Lepisosteus oculatus: one gene and its partner. The protein of the gene in region 1 interacts with the protein of each later gene in a biochemical or structural test. Links are inferred from orthologs where the notes say so. Each region holds a gene or a part of one and is shown on either strand. Other genes may lie near its edges.

Evidence for each region. The genes of interacting proteins can lie anywhere in the genome.
Region 2: the proteins of Na(+)/H(+) exchange regulatory cofactor NHE-RF1 (region 1) and pdgfrb form a complex in vitro, tested with the Homo sapiens proteins (2 studies listed by BioGRID and IntAct, with this or other methods). The link is inferred for Lepisosteus oculatus from reciprocal best matches to the Homo sapiens genes NHERF1 and PDGFRB.

Annotation. Positions count from the first base shown.
Region 1 is NC_090704.1:34,889,918-34,898,307, forward strand, and holds the start of Na(+)/H(+) exchange regulatory cofactor NHE-RF1, read left to right. Parts: upstream 1-4,851; 5' UTR 4,852-5,212; coding exon 5,213-5,674; intron 5,675-8,390. UniProt on the Homo sapiens protein: Scaffold protein that connects plasma membrane proteins with members of the ezrin/moesin/radixin family and thereby helps to link them to the actin cytoskeleton and to regulate their surface expression. Necessary for recycling of internalized ADRB2.
Region 2 is NC_090706.1:32,305,584-32,314,069, forward strand, and holds the start of pdgfrb (platelet-derived growth factor receptor beta), read right to left. Parts: upstream 3,315-8,486; 5' UTR 2,490-3,314; intron 299-2,489; exon of another isoform or gene 262-298; intron 1-261. UniProt on the Homo sapiens protein: Tyrosine-protein kinase that acts as a cell-surface receptor for homodimeric PDGFB and PDGFD and for heterodimers formed by PDGFA and PDGFB, and plays an essential role in the regulation of embryonic development, cell proliferation, survival, differentiation, chemotaxis and migration.

The DNA.
Region 1 (8,390 bases):
TGATGAGGTATGTTCACTTTACATCCACTGAAGGTAATGTACTGGGAGTCTTTTCCACAGGGCTGTGGTGGGGGGAATTATGACGTGATCATTTTCATGTTTTTGTTTAAAACAAAAAATACAGAATATAACAGTACTGAAGTAATAAATTCACACTTAAATTATACTGTTTTATAATTTCTAAAACACCTTCAAAGGCCTGGTGCTTCCTGTGGTCTCAAAATACTACCTTGATGCATAGAATGTGAAAGCTGACTAAATGAAGACCCCACCAGTCAAATGTTTGATGTTCAGGTAGTTACAAAACACCATACTTATGAACAAAAATTCAAATGAAATCTTTTCTGATTTGTATTTTGTGCCCCACCCAGGTGGTTTGACCTTTGCATATTATTTGAAAAAAAAAGTATAAAAAATTAAGGTGAAGTTAAGGTGAAGCAAAATTAGGGACAGTAAATGGGTTGTTGTTTCTTAAAACATGTCATTGAAAATATGGGATGCTTTTCAAACAGCTCTATCGTGAGAAGTGTACAGCATGGAGCAGTAAAATCTGGAGCTCATACAAAGAGGAACACAAGGAACTCCTTCCCACATGTGCACACATTACACAGCAGAGGATAAAGCAGCACAGCCCAGAGGCCAACAGCTCCAGTCTACAGCAAGAGTCTCAAATCCTGATCTTCCATCAGGTACTGTTGGTACTGTAACCATCAAATCATTTATCTAGAAAGACGTGGAAAAATTGTGATGGTATGGTAAAAAGAATGGGTTTAAAGATGTAGTGCAAAACTGAATTAAGGGACTAGAGTTCCTTTAATTGAATAAATTACTAACTTAACTGATTGGTAATTTACAAGTATTCCCGCTCTTTAGAAATATGTAACTTAGGGAGACCAGTAATACAGGATGTAATACTAGATTAAGGCTTTCCAGAGCATGGGTTGGACATCCCTATTCAAGAGTATAAAATCATCAATATGCCTAAAGTAGCTTCTTCCGGAAGGAACACATTCTCTCTGGTCCTATTTGTACTTCGTTTATCAAATTATACTGGCACAGGTCTCTCAATACCATTATCTGTAACAGCTTCTTCCTGCAGGCTGTCAGGCTCCTCAACACCCTGGAATCTACTTGCCCCCGGCCCAATTCCAGAAACAGGGTTAAGATCCCCCCAGTGTGGTGTGTATATTGGATTATATATTGCCTTGTATTTTGCACTATCTGCACTTTGCACTATGTGTATCCTGTCTACAATGTCTATGTCAGTGTCCTGTCTGTCCTGCCTGTATTTTCACTGTGGACCAGGTGGAACGGTATTTCATTCCACTGTATACTTGTATATGGCTGGAATGACAAATAAACTTGAACTTGAAATTAAGAAGGTGAACTACATTAAGAAGCATCCTTTAGAAACTAATATTTGTGTCTTTCTTTTACACTGTGTGATATATTGTTTGTATTGGACACAATGAAAACACATCGAGGCTATACAGTACCTTTTATATGTCTTTCCATAGTGGAAGAGGAGGTGGAGTCTTTCCTTGTTGGATTTTAGGATCTTTTTAAAAATGTTTTGGAACCTCACATTCAACTGAAGAAAGAGATAGGGGGCAACAGAAATATTTTATGTTGTTCTGTACAAGAGGTGGGAGGACTCTCAGGTATGGTTTTGAGTCACTGGGAGGGTGTTCCCAGCCAGTAGTAGGTGTTGTGAATATACTATGAAGTCACACTGTACAGTAGCTGCCAGCCAATTCGGATCCATAGCATATTGACTATATTCTCAAATATATAACTATATATAATATATAAACTGGATGGTTCATTCCTCTTTATCCTGTGCATGCTAGTAAAAGCATATAAAATTCAATCAGTCAATTCAGTTTTCATCATCAGACCTGGAACTACAGTATAATGACATGTAATATTTTTTTGGATAACTGAAAAACCTTTTTTGTCAGGATCCTGTCAGGGCAGGGAGGTTAACTACTGTAGATGTTTTTTTGCTGAATACCATGGCAAGTGTATGAGATGCAAAACTGACAAAGGCAACTGGAGTTCATGCACGGGTCACTGCAATTCCAGGATGTGTTACTTCAGCATTTTGCCTGTCAGAACCAGAAGCACAATTCCTGTTCTTAAATTTGCTGATTCGCAGCCTGCAGCACACTCAATCCACTATATACTCTAGTTGCATCAAACCTGAATATCTTCTATAGAAAATCAGCACTGGGTGTGCCCCGATGACTTCTGTGGAAACTGGCAGTGTTACTATGGAGTAGATTTCTAATTGAGCACATCCATTACATCCAAACTATTGAGAATTATTTCAATTTATAATTCTCTATTTATAGAACTTTACTTAACTCAAATACATAATGTGCTGCATCGTCTGTAGTAGTGCCACTACAAGGTACAATTGAAATTATCAATGTAAAGAGAATAGATTGCTATGTCAAGAACACCATGTGCAGGTCTCATGATATTTTGATGATATTTTGAGGGGGTAACCTAGGTCTGAAAAATGACTTCTCATAGCTACTTTTAAAAACTTGCAGAAATCTAGAAAATAATATGCAATGAAGGAATTTTCTAGTCTACTTTGTACAAAACACTGTTGTTACGTAGGAGGCCTTTACAATATAAAAATTCAGCCCATTGAATGTTGTTATTTATGACCTGTTTCAGAAAGGGCAGAGCAGAAATGCATAAAATGGTCAAGAGAGAATTCATTTTTTATTTTATTATTCAAGCATGTGTTTGAGGAAGAGATTAGAAATCATATACCTAAGTCTCAAGGACAAATAAAGCAAACAACATGGACGCCGTGACTTCAGATTTTAAAGATTTTGCATAAAGTACCATCATTCTTTACATGTCTGTTTTTATGCATACTTTTTAAATTAGCTGTGAAGCAGTTCAATTGTTAAAAATTACCTGGCTCAATTGATAATTACACAATAATGTCTCATAAATATTTATGCTGGATTTGTGGATGTTCTTAATATTGTATTTATACCATTATTTATACCATTACAGTTAGGATATAAAAAAGTGCTCAATGCTTCCAACATTAAAGTTGGACTTCCAACTTTAAATACATTAAAGTTGGAAGCATTGAGCACTTTTTTATATCCTAACTGTAATGGTATAAATACAATATTAAGAACATCCACAAATCCAGCATAAATATTTATGAGACATTATTGTGTAATTATCAATTGAGCCAGGTAATTTTTAACAATTGAACTGCTTCACAGCTAATTTAAAAAGTATGCATAAAAACAGACATGTAAAGAATGATGGTACTTTATGCAAAATCTTTAAAATCTGAAGTCACGGCGTCCATGTTGTTTGCTTTATTTGTCCTTGAGACTTAGGTAAAGCGCCCAAACATGGGATATGGAATGTTGGTAGCCAAATAATACTGGTTTGATCTGGTAAGAGTGATTTGAAATTGGTTTTGGATTAATGATAATAATTATTCCTTACACTTATGTAGTGCTTTTCTGGATACTTCGCTCAATGAGCTTTACAGGTAATGGGGCTCCCCTCTACCACCATCAATGTGTAGCCCCCACCTGGATAATGTGACGGCAGGCATGGTGCACCAGTACACTCACCTCATGTCAGCTTTCAGTGGGGAGGAGAGCAGAGTGATGAAGGCAATTCATAGATGGGGATTATTAGGAGGCCATGACTGTTAAAACCCCTGGGATTTTTAATGACCATGGAGACTTAGGACCTCGGTTTTATATCTCACCCAAGGCGTAGCCTTTTGGACAGTGTTGTGTTCTCATACTTGGGGTATTAGGGTACTATAGGGGGTAGCAGGTCTCCCAGGTAATGGCCAGGCTCCCACCTGCTTAGCTTCAATGGGTTGCTAGTTGTGAGTTGCAGGGTGATATAGCTGCTGGGTAAATTAAAAATAAATTAAAAATATTAAAAAACAGTCTAGGCTTTGCAAAGTGATATAAAGTTATAGAAGAAGTATAAAAGGAAATGTAAATTTCTCTTCTAAAGGAATTTTGAAGAGTGGGTAACGTTTTTAGAAAGCTAAGAACTGGGTAACTGCAATAATGCAATGCAATAATAATGGGAGCAAATTACTCTGACAGTTTCCACCTGAAGTATACAGCTCAGAAACTAAAAAAAAAACGCACTCCATCTCTAGTGTTACTCAACTGTGCGAGTGGGCACTTTCGAGCAGAAACAAGTTTTCAGTTGTTAAAAACGTTACGGAAATAACATTTGTGTTCGAAGCAGTACCAATACCACAGCAGATGTTAACCCATGAAAACAAATTACTAAAGTCATAAAAGGTTTTCTTTAAAAATCTTGTGCTGCCGTGGATCTCCATCGAGGGCAGTAAGATTCCGATAAACCCCTATGCGAGCTCGAAATCCCTCCAGGTATTAAGTTATGTCTGTGATGAAGAATTGTGTTGCCGACATTATAACTGTAAGTTACAATTACATATTCTAATGTCTCAAATACTTCTTTCTCGCATTGATTGGTACTGTAGTACTAAGCAGTTTATACAGACTTTACACGTTCTTTGTGGGGATCTGATATTACTCAACTCCCTTCGGTTAAATTCCATGGGTTGCGCTGATTGGAAAATGCACACCTCAACAATAGAAGTGCAACAAAGTGCACTTCCTTTGCAGGAAGATAACAATTATCTTACCGTGTGGCTATCTGAAACTTGAATTACTCTATTATTTTGACAGTCGCCATTGGCTCATAAAAGCTCTCTTTGTGGTAAAGTTACTTGAACGGCGGACAATGATTGGTGCTGTTGGCTGTCATCTGTGGAAACGTCATGCTGCCTTATAAACTGCGCGGAGTTAATTTGAGTAACCAGATTGGAGGCTTTCGGCTGTGACGGAGAGTGCAACCCTTTTCGTGAGAAAGAGTTCAGACTGTCGTGAAGTTTTTAGGAGACTTGTGTGCACTTTAAAAAGGGAATTGCAGCTGGCGGTGACAGGGACAAGTCACATCGAGACGTCTGACGATTTTAAAAGCGAAATCTATCCATTTGCATTTCCTTAACTGCAAGTTTGGAAGTTACACCGCACTTTTTGAGTAACTGTGCAAACGTGTTGTTCCGTGCACGTTTCTGGCGTTGGTGGCGACCTATTTAAATAAGACTTTTTTGGAGTACCTGACAACATTACACTCAACAGTTTTTTTTATCAGAATAACAAGGATGTCCAGCCATAGCGAATCTCTTCGACCCAGGTTGTGTTCGCTGGAGAAAGGGGGGAATGGTTATGGTTTTCACCTCCACGGGGAAAAGGGGAAGACCGGTCAGTTCATTCGGCTGGTGGAGCCGGACTCCCCAGCTGAAGCGTCGGGGCTCCGCGCCGGCGACAGGCTGGCGTTTGTCAACGGGGAAAGCGTAGAGAGCGAGAGTCACCAACAAGTGGTGTCCAGGATAAGAGCAACAACCGGGGATCTGAAACTGATCGTGGTGGACCGGGAGACCGACGACCTGCTGAAAAAATACAACCTGAAGTGCCAGCCGGAGTATGTCACGTCGGGCATCCCTATACCGAGCGAGTCAGAGGAGGAGGTCGGGGAGAACGGCAGCCGACGGGGCTCTTCTCCGACCCCGGAGAAAAATGGAGATATCACTGGCGAGAAAAAGCCGAGTGTCAGCTCCGAGAAGGTAAGATGGATTCAATTTAAACGTGTTCCCAACGGTTGTTTCGAGATCTGATTTAAAATCCCCCTTTCGTCAAATGCAAGCATAGAAAACCTGTTTACCGCACTTTTCTCTCGTTGTATCTCTTTTTTGTTCAGCTAGTCTCGCGTTTGTTTTTTGTGTTGCTGTTAAGAGTCCAACTCTTACAATTAGATTTTGAGAAACTGCCAGCTACCTGCACTTCGGGGGAAAAAGTTTTTAAGATTACTAGTATGATTGAATGGAGTATGCTAGGTAATGCTCTTTAGGTAAGTACTTCTGTGATTTACAATGTGGTAGCTCGCATCATACACTAATAAACAAGCCCCCTTTATTTTTGTATGGAACGAAACCAGTTTGTGTAGTTCCAAAACAACAAAAAAAAAACAAATGAGTGTTTTATCAGTCTGGTTTCTGAAAAGTTAGTGAAAACAGGCTGTTTCTCTAGCTGAATTCCAGTATTTGGCATTCGGTTCAGGCAGCTTAACACTCGCCTCCAACAGTATGTTTGTGGGCAGCGTAGGAACAGCACAGGCTTTGTCCGCCTCTATTGTCGCACAGGTGCGGGAGGTTCAGAGCTCCAGGTAGCAGAGCGCCGCGGGCTCGGGTGGAAGGAGTGTTCCGTCAAACTGCGTGGGAATTTTTTTCCCCGGTTTCCCAATCTTTGAACGCAGAGCTAAAGCTTAAAGGAACATTTGTTACCACCCAAACGTGCGACAGTTTATTCACATCTCGCGATTTATCAGCTGAAGTAATGCTTTCGGACCGCAGAAATGTTTCTTCCGTTTCCTGGCTGACCTAGGTAAAGTAAACGAAAATACTATAATGTAAATCTAAGTTACTTTTAAGGAGACAGCTTGGACCCACACTGGAAAGGTTAATAGGTCTGTTTAGAGCAGAGGCTGGGAAACACGTGGTTGTTAAAGTTCAGAGCAGATACTCAGAAATTTGACCCATCTCATGGACATTATGCTTTCCTTGTCAGGAGCTTTTGCCTGCTTTTCTGAAATATTGATGTTTCTTGTTCATGCATACTGTGAGTGATCTGTCTCGTGGTGATTGGCACTCCTCCAACGTAACATTTATGGGGGTAGTGTTTGTCAAATCAATGCTATGTTATCCCATGGAAAGAAACATTCACCTATCTATCTGTATCAATTCAGCATCATGGGGGAGTTAATCCTGTCCCAGAAAGCAAAGGGTACAGGGTTTGATGCATCTTGCATGGGACAACAGACACACTCACACCAGGGCCAGTTTTCCCAGAAGTCAATTAACCTACTAGTATGTCTTTGGACTGTGGGAGGAAACCAGAGCACTGAGAGGAAACCCACATGAACATGGGGAGAACTCAGGGCTCCACATTCGCAAGGCAGCAGTACTAACCAATGTGCTGCTAAAAAAAACATTGAAGTTGTGTATACTTTTTGTAATCATTTTATCAGTGACGTGTGCTGACTAGCTACTCTGAAAGATCGTCTGTATCTCCCATTAGATATGTGACGTAAGAACTTTGAAGATACAGGTTAAAGGCTGTTCCAATCTTTTAGTGCTTTGTGGGTAGCCATTATTATATTATGGATAATCAGTCTGCTCAACCACATGAAAACTAGTTGTGATGTAAAAATCTGCAGCCTCCTTTAAATTGAATTTACAGTAGATTTCTTCACGATAGGACAGTTAAACAATGCTTCTTGAGCTCGTAGTTCTTATTTAAGACTTTCCAAAAAAAAATCAGAAGATATTGTGTGGAAATTAAATACTGGATATTAAGAACTGCTGAAAATGTGCTTTTCTGCATCTTGCAACAGAGCTTGTAAAATTTTCAGTCCAAACTGTAAGAGGTGACTTGGTTTTATTCAGCATCTTGGTGTAACAAGTTCTGGGTTTGTTTCACTGAGAGTCTGTGAAATAACTTTAAAAAAGTGTTTAAAACAGTTTTTTTCCCACCTTTTGTAAGGTTGAGTCCTGTGAAACTCAAATGTTCTTAAATTTTATTTTTGATTTTACAGTGTCCTTAAAGCAATTAAATGTACAGTAGTTGTCTTAGCTATGGCACTGCCCAAACCATGCTGGTGTCACCAACATTTTTGGCCCCTTTTCTTTAATTTGGAGCTGTACAGGATTCCCCTGAAGAGAAACAGCCACCTTCTCGTCTTCACGTGACGCAAACGAGTGCTTCACTTTTCAGCTTTCTGGGATAGGAGAATTCAAATGACCTCGACAAACCCTGGCTGCTGTTTTGATACAGTATGTGCCACCCTGAGCCAGTCCCTGAACCTCCTTGTGCTCTGTCCTTCAGATGAGACCTGAAAACTGAGGTGCTAAAAGTGGCTCTGGAGCAGCAGGTGTTAAAATATTACTCAGCCCTTCAGCCTCCGTAAGTCACGCTGGGCAAATGGTGTCTGTTAAATGAGTAATTATTAAGTGCTTGGGTATGCAATTACTGCCAAAGCACATTTCTAGAACATTCGTTAGTAACTGAAGAAATTAGAGAACTTTTCAGAGACTCGAGCGGAGGAGTGTTTTGTCCGGCAGAATCCCTGAAAGCTCCCTTGTCCTTGTGCTTATGGTAAAGTAGATCCAAGCCCACAAATTATACAGGTTAAATATTTTACACTTGTGGTGGTGTAACACTGCCATGCTTTCTGTTTTCCTTTATTTCCAATAGGGTTTTAGAAATCTTTTCAGCACATTGTTT
Region 2 (8,486 bases), on another chromosome or scaffold:
TGGTTTTTCTATGATAATAATAGTCTTGGTAAGACTCTACAATACTCAATTTGTGTTTCATCCAACAACTTCAGGTTGTACTATTTGACTTGTGAGACAATTAGTGAGCCAGTTAGCAATGAATTTATTGTTGAAGAACACCTCAGCTGAAAATGGGGAGGCTTATGAATTTAAAACAATTGCCACTAGAGCCATTAAGATTGACAATACCTAGTTAATATCCAGTAGCAATCAAAGTGACTTATAGAAGCTTGTACAAACCTCTGGCGGTTTTGAAGGAACGAGTAATAGGTTTATTCCATGCTGAAAAGAGAAGAAAGGAAACACAATCTTTCGGCTGTGGAGCCTTATTCGGGCGTTTTCTGCTTTTTTATAATATTCAGAGAATTCACAGTTCCTCTGCAGTGTAAATTTGTTTTAGTAGAAAGATGTATTTCACACACATTCACTGGATTTTCTTTTACATTTTCAGTTGAACACCATGATTGAAAAAGATGATTTATACAAAAAGTCTGATTACCCAAATCCTAATAATTAGTATATAATTAACCAATAGATTCAATCTTGGAAAAATGTACAAAGAGTTTAATAACCTTTTCATTTATACATGTGTAGATCTGTATAAGCAGACTTGTCTCAGATGTAAGAATTGAAAACATTCTAAAGACAAATATAAAATACTGTATAATTACACTGGCAATTATAAACACTTTTCATTTACCTACTATATTAAAATATACTTAACCAAAAGAAAAGTAATCTTTATATAAGTCCCCCTTCCTCTGTAGATAACACTCCAGCACCTGATTCTAATTAGTGACCATTTCTGCAATTGGTGGAAAATATAAATGAAAGTTTTTTTTGGCCATTATCAGCACCATCATTAGTTTTAGTTGTAGACTAGCTAGAACCTCATTAAAAATCCAGGAAGAACATTATATAAGCTTGAAAAGGAGCTCACAGATTGTACAAACAGTTGCAGCAACTCATACTACACCCACATGCTAGCTGTAAGTAAACCTCAGTCTTGCTTTTTTAAAAAAAACAGAACAATGACATAAATTCACCTCAGTGAAGTGTCAGCATGATAAGTTATTAGCAGTTGACTGTCCAAAAATCTAAACCTAACATTTCTTTAACTCAAGCATAGTAAAAAAAATGCTTTTCATGCTTTCCCATGACCTCTAGGAAAACAAAAATGCAAACAAAATACTGTGTACCAGATGTCTGCCACAGAAGGGTGAACATTTTCCTTTGCCTAAGCTGTATACCTACCAAAGGTTTTCTTACGTGAAGCAAACTGTGCCAGTGGTTGTCTTTACAGGATGCACGTTCTTGAAGTCTATCTTATTGTATTTGCTATTATCAACAGTTTAACTAAGCTGTTGTTTACGTTTATTTTTGTGCCTTTCTGTAGAGAACACCTCACTGGAAATATTAGATTATACAGAAAATGAGGTTAGCTCTCTTTTAAGACACTGACATAAAAGTTGACATTTCATGTACAAAGGCAATCCAAGAGTACTGCTCAATGACAAAAGATTTCACAGCCAACAGGACAGGCTGTCAAACATGGCCTAATTGTGTGAAAGTAAACAGTTCAGGAAACTCAAAGTCTGAAGAGAAAACAGATAAGCATATACAGATCCCCTAAAGTCAAGCACCACTTTAGCCTAATAAAGTACTTCTGAAGCAGAAAGGATTTTTAGCATTCTTATTAAAGCACTCAGTATTAAATGTGGAAAACTCAAGGGGAAAATATATTTTCCCTGCAGCATAACTAGCCAAATTCCAAAGATTTCCATGGAGAAATACTGACATTCCATGATAATTTGTTTTTGATATTCCAAGATAAATTGGTTTTGTTGTTTTTAATTTTAGAATTTGCTGTGTTCTGTTAATTAGTGGGTATTTTTTTCTGACATGCCTTCAAGTATTCATTTCTTATATGTGGAAGTTCTTTTCTACATACACTATACAAGCTGTTGCTTAATTTTTTTTTTAAAGTGAACCAATTAGGTCCCACATCAAAGGAAATAACATGGCTGTTTACAAGTCTAATCTGAAACATGCACACACATCACTTCATATTTTTTATAGGTTGAGTTTATGCAAAGTATTATAAACAATATTAGATGCCAAAAGCACTGTAGTTCTGGTTTACTGTATTTCAGCTTCTGGGTATATGGTATGTATATATATTAGGATAAAACTCCAATATGGTACTGTATATCTCACTGTAAACAGCCAATAGATCTTCAAGTTCAGAAACTTGGGCAATAGACTTCTGTGTAATGTAACTAAGTCAACGTTTGTTAATGCAGACTTTGATAAAATCCAGCAGATCTACAAACTTTCTCCTTTTAAATGATCTCAAACAATATTAAACACTGGAGACTTTCTACCAAATATACTCCAGGTATATTTGAAGACAGCTTTAAGTGAACAAAAAGCACATAAAAAATATATTAAAAGGGGGAAAGACTTACCTTGGATACACGTCACTCTAGTATCAGAAAGACTTTTAAAAAAACTTAAAGCATTGTCCAACGGTGATTTCTCTTAGGGATCTGAACTGCTGTCCGACTGCCTTGAAAGTGTGAGTAGCAGTTTTCAATTAGCTTCCTTTTGTAGAACTGGGGTAGATTCCTCAAATCTTCAGAGATGATTGCTGTAATCTGGTTAGCCCCTTGAGCCCTTGAAACAGGCACCAGAACTCTGTTTATTTATTCAAATGAAAGGATAGGGGTGGCCACTGATGCAGCACTGAAAATCACCTTTTAGAAGAATAAAAGGCTGTTAAAAGTTGAAATAAACATCAGAAGAGGCCAAGATTAAACTATTGGTCTTCAGTCACATAGGTCATGTATTTTCAGAGAATACAGCTCCTTTCATAAAAAAAAAACGTTCTGTTGGCTGACACCTTTGAAACATAAATCTATATATGATAAACGTGTTCTGTTCCTTACGAAATAACGAAAACAAAACACCAAAAAGAAAAAGTAGTCACGAGACAATATACTGGCAAGCTTCACTAATTCAAGTCCAAATGAAAAAGAAAAGAGGCTGATGAAGACTTTTATATGAAGTTAGAACAAATTGTCATTTTAGTGCCGTGAACAGAAAACTAACTACAGCTACATTTAAAAGCAAAGCTTGTTTTCTATAGACAAAAAAAGTTCTATTGAATTTAAAAGGACTTGTAAAAGGGTACTTCCCTCTTCTACTCTCAACACCAGAGTGGTTGTGTCTGTTTTCAATCTTGGCTTTTTCCTTATTTTTCCTTTCCCAGGATATGAGTGGATGGCTAGAAAATTCATAACCCACGCCAGCAGCTGACTAAGGGCTTTCTTTTTATTAAAGAGGACTTTTTTGAAGGGGTGTGTGTTGGGGGACTTGAGGGGGGGACTCTGCATACTCACTCCTGTAATTGTTATAGTGTGAAGTGCCTTGTGGAACTAATTAGAAAGCTGCTGCACGCACATTTATTAGATTGAAGAGGACAGTGCAGTGCTTGTTTGAAGACTGACTGGGTGAACGTGTCCATTACAAATCTTTACATAGCAATTTAGAAAACTTTAATTTAGATTGATCAAATTACATCCACAGCTACCGTATATTTCCTTCATGATAGCGAAAACTGATAAAGGCGGCAATCTGCTTCTTTTAAGAACTCTGTAAACAGCTGTAATACCAGAACAGATGACTGCTTCTGTATTTGCAGTTAAACCTTTTTTTTCCTGAATCAGGCACAAAATAATCAATCACTGGTCTAGTGTGGGGTAACAAAAAATTATAGCATGCTATCTTGTCTCAGACTGAATATATACATGTATAAATATCGGTCATATGCTTTTGGAAATCTCTTAAACACAGAGGACAAACTCAGAGCAGTTTTTTTCTATTCAAATTACAAGCATCCACTAATACATAATTGATGACAGCATTTTCAAAACCATAAGTTTTCATTCTGATGCCCCAAATCAAAATAGGACATTACACATTTCAACAGAACTACATGATACCTATATAACGTGACATAAGATTTAGACTTGCCTGTGCTCACATCTGATGTATTCAAATGACCTGCTACATTTCTACAGCAATCTAGGCTTAGGGCAAGCCTGCTCTGTGCTGTGACCATTAAATAGAAAACTGTCCTAGGAAAGGCTGCCATCAGCAGACTGATCACTTTCTCTTAAGCAGAAAAGTGCTAAATTTTAAAACTATACAAACATTCTATTATAAAACTCTTTTTCGAACCAAGGTCTCATTTTGAAAAGATTCCATCTTCCATCTGATAAAGTTAACTTTCTTTTAATTTTTTCTGATTAGCATCTTAATTTTACAAGTTAGAAATAGTTCAGAATTTCAATAAATAGTTCTGTGACCATAACATAATACCATCTCTGACATAGCACTAAAAGATAAATATAGCCTTTTTTTTAAGGCTGTTGACTGCCTTATTTGAATAAGAAACAGGAAATTAAGCAATTGCCACTATCTGTCCTTTTTATAGAAAGAGCGAAAATGGAATGTGGACCTAACAGACATATGATTATAAAATGATTTTTGTTTAAAATTCAGGAAAACCATAGAGATTCACATTACACATGTAAAACCATTTTTTTCTATTGTTCAGGGTGGATGCACAGTAATGCCCCAACTTAAAAATCACTATGTAGTTTACAAATGCATGCATACATCTAAACTTTTTTGGAGTCCTTCTTTAAACAAATACAAGTTAATAAACAGAAATAAACAATGTAAAAAAAGCTGGAAATTTTAATTGACCCAGGAAATTAAAGGAAAATGGATATTAAAGGAAAACAAACAAATCAGGAGTATATAGGTGCTTCTGCATACTAATATTTTATGTGATTTTTTGCCATTGAGCATTATATCTTTAAAACAAGTCACAGACGTTTGTCAAATAAACATATCTCAAAAGAATGAAAAAACACATTACCAGTGGGAGGTGTTAAGTTTGCTTTTTCTTTTACAGTTAAATGAAACTATGTAGAGAAGTGTGATCAGCTTGTACTCAGCAGGTTTATCTTGGAATAGGACACTGAAGAACAGGCACAACTAAGTGAGACAGACATAAATAAGAACAGAGTTTAAAAGTATACAGCAAGAGTTCATCAGAGAGTCATGGATTATTTTGTAGTGTGGTAGTTATGCATCTTAGAAACCAGAACACACTGCTTCCAAATGTCAAACTAATCAACAGGAAAATAGTGTTAGGTTGTCTTTTGATTTATTGAGCATATTAAGTTTTTGTTTTCAGAATTTTTTATCGAGTTCCAAAATCGGATTATACTCATCTTGGCAGCTATGGATCAAACACAATAATGAAGTACTAAATCTGAAAGAAATTAAAAGTCAGCCCTGCTGACTTTAGAGATAAACATATTTGTCAATAAAATAATCAAACACACCATACTGCAAATCTGGTTATATTGGATATTATAATTTAGAACAGAGCTGTCATAGACAGACTATGTCCTGCTTATGTCCTGGTTAAGCCATTAAAACATTAGGAAACTGTATGACATTTACCGACCTACTGTCTCTTTTTTAACAAAGATATTATTTACTATACCGATATTGGATCTAGTTTCCCTAGAAAAAGATTAAATTTCTATGCAAATATTGTATGTAGATAAAAATATAATTAAGTCATAATGTCTTCTGAGCACAAAGAAGAGTAATTAATACAATTTCTTGCATGTCCTCAAGTGAATAATGCACTATCATGTGATTTATTTCTTTTTCAGCCACACTGACGTTTCCAGTGAGTGAAAATGTAATGGCTCAGTTCAATAACTGGCCACAAATACCTGGAAATCAAAACAGTGGAGCCATTCATGCTCTCAAAACACTACCCCGTGCAAAATGATTCATGTTTTTATATACTTCAGGTGCTTCAGCCAATGCAGGATGGGAGTCTACAAGTATTTTGTGTGTCACAGTTCATTGGAAAAAGAAAAGTTAATAGAGATAGGCAATTACCTTCAGCTGTTTCCCTCGTTATTTCCAATAGAAACTTTATCCTAAATATATGGCTTTCCATTTACACATTATGTACAGTTAATATTATTCATTGGCCTACTACTATGAGGATTTATATGAATATTAATTAATATTAATGTTTGGCAAATACATGATGAATGCAAGCGACTCACCTTAATTATCATTTTAAACAACTTTAAAACGTATCCTTTTGCCCTTGCCATATTATCTTTTTCATTGTATTTTCATTGTATTTGCTATTTGGTTTCCACATTTCAAAAAGGACATTGGTGCTTTGGAATCATTCACAGAAGATGAGTGAGTTTAATTCCTGGTATTCAAGGAACAGGTTAAAGGAGTTGAATCTCTTTAGAATCTATTAAACTCGTTAGCTTTGTTTTACAGTATAAACAAGTATGAAAACTTCTTTAGAAGAAGTTTAAAATATCTTCTTCCAATGTAGTGTATATTTTATTTTCACACTCTGGGACTAGTCTTCTGTCACATAGCTATTTATAATTTAAATTCATTAAACAGCTTAAAAAAGTATAAAAATATAACAGTGGAGTGCCTCTAGACCAGTAGTAAAACAAGGAACTGAGGACACCAGTGGAAACTAATTGGAATTGCAATAATGACTGAAAGGCTTTTAATTGAAAAGCAGTCGACATCTCTCAATTCTCAGTTCTGCACACTAACTTGTCAATCATTGGACAAACCCTATTTAGCATATATCAACTATGAATCAGTTCTGCTGAAGTTTCCCAATGATTTTTTTCCCCTAGGATACCTTATTAACTCAGATACTGTCATTGTCTATGTAAAGTTACATAAGCAGCAACATGTATTATAGTGTGCTTCATTTTATTTTTAAATTTGCTCAAACTAAAATTATTTTAAGCAGCAAGGGACTTCAAGAACTATTTTGCTCATCTGGTTGAGAAGACGTCACATTTTATAAAATATACTTAATAACTTTTGCCTGTACATTCACTGCACTCCAAGCAGAAAAAAAAAAACATGTATTAAAGGGGAAAAGCTAGGATATTGCGATAGTTACAGTATATGTATGTTCACTGCTGGTCTGGTGAGCAAGTGAAGGCATTGTTAATGTGCCAAGGATTCACCATAGTTCAGTGCGTCCGCAACAACAAAACAAAGCAAAAGACTCAATGAATTTCAGGACTTAAATCAAGAGTCCTAACCAGTCTAACCACAGAACTCTTAAAGTTGCTTCATGTTAAAAACCATATGACATGTTTATAAATATACTATATGTAGAGTGATGTCAAAAGGAAGTATTGAGGAAAACAGACAGATCAAATAAGAAGAACAATCTTGTTTTGAGATCTTATTTTTTATTCTTTTTACATTAAATTGGAAGGGATTCCTGCTAAAATAAATAAACCAAGGCCTTTCTGACAACACTGTCCTGGCTGGCTAAGGGTATGTTTAAAAATTGTGTGGTCATATTTATTGGAGATAAAATATATATTTTTTCCAGACATGCATTAAGAACTGAAAGTTCCCAGGAACCATTTCAAGAAAACACACTATACCAGAACCAGACAAAAACTATCAGAATTCTTCATCACCAAATGTTTTTAAAACATGTTTAGGGCAACTAAGAAAGTCTGTGACACTTTCGTCTTAAAAACATGTATGTTTTATAATTGTACTTTCAAAAATATACAGTATCTAAGTGAAACAAACCATTTAATTTTTTATAATTTTTATATCCTGTTGGGGATAACAATATTTGTACATACAGTTGTAAATATACTAAATATAAAACAGTTTAGCTCCACAAAAAAAGCCCTCTAAATTAAAAGCACATGTTTTCTTTCCTGCAATTTTGAAATTATTGTAAACATATTATTGGAAATTATTAGACATTTATGTGTTAACTGTTTTTTTATCAGTACAGCACAATAATCTCATGCTCCCTGCCATCAATGGCACTCCTAAAGTATGTAACAGGGCTCAATAGTACTGAGCTAGATACCGGATCTGATCTAACCCCCTTAGAACATGGTTAATATTGAATTCAGCATATCAGAAGGATTTGGTGTCTAAGGAGACAAAACTAAACTCCAACTTCTTAACCACAGGACCTCTAAGCTAGAATCTGACAACTATGAGTGACAGGTATGAGTAAAACACTTGTAGCATCTCTGGTAGAATCTCAGTACCAAGGCATTTGAAGTGATTGAAAAGCGGTACAATAGGAAGTCCATTTTCTCCATTGTAAAATTTAAAGTCAGTAATGCTAAATTGGACTAAGACATTTTATACCAAAATAACCAAAGCCATCAAAAAGAGACATTCTATGAATATAATAACATTATATTCGTTATTTAGGTTGTTACAGTATTTAGTTTTGTTATGAGAAATAGTGCTATAACTACCAGAATGGCATATGATTTTAACAAGTGGTTCTAAAGACAACCAATATAGGTGGAAATGATGAG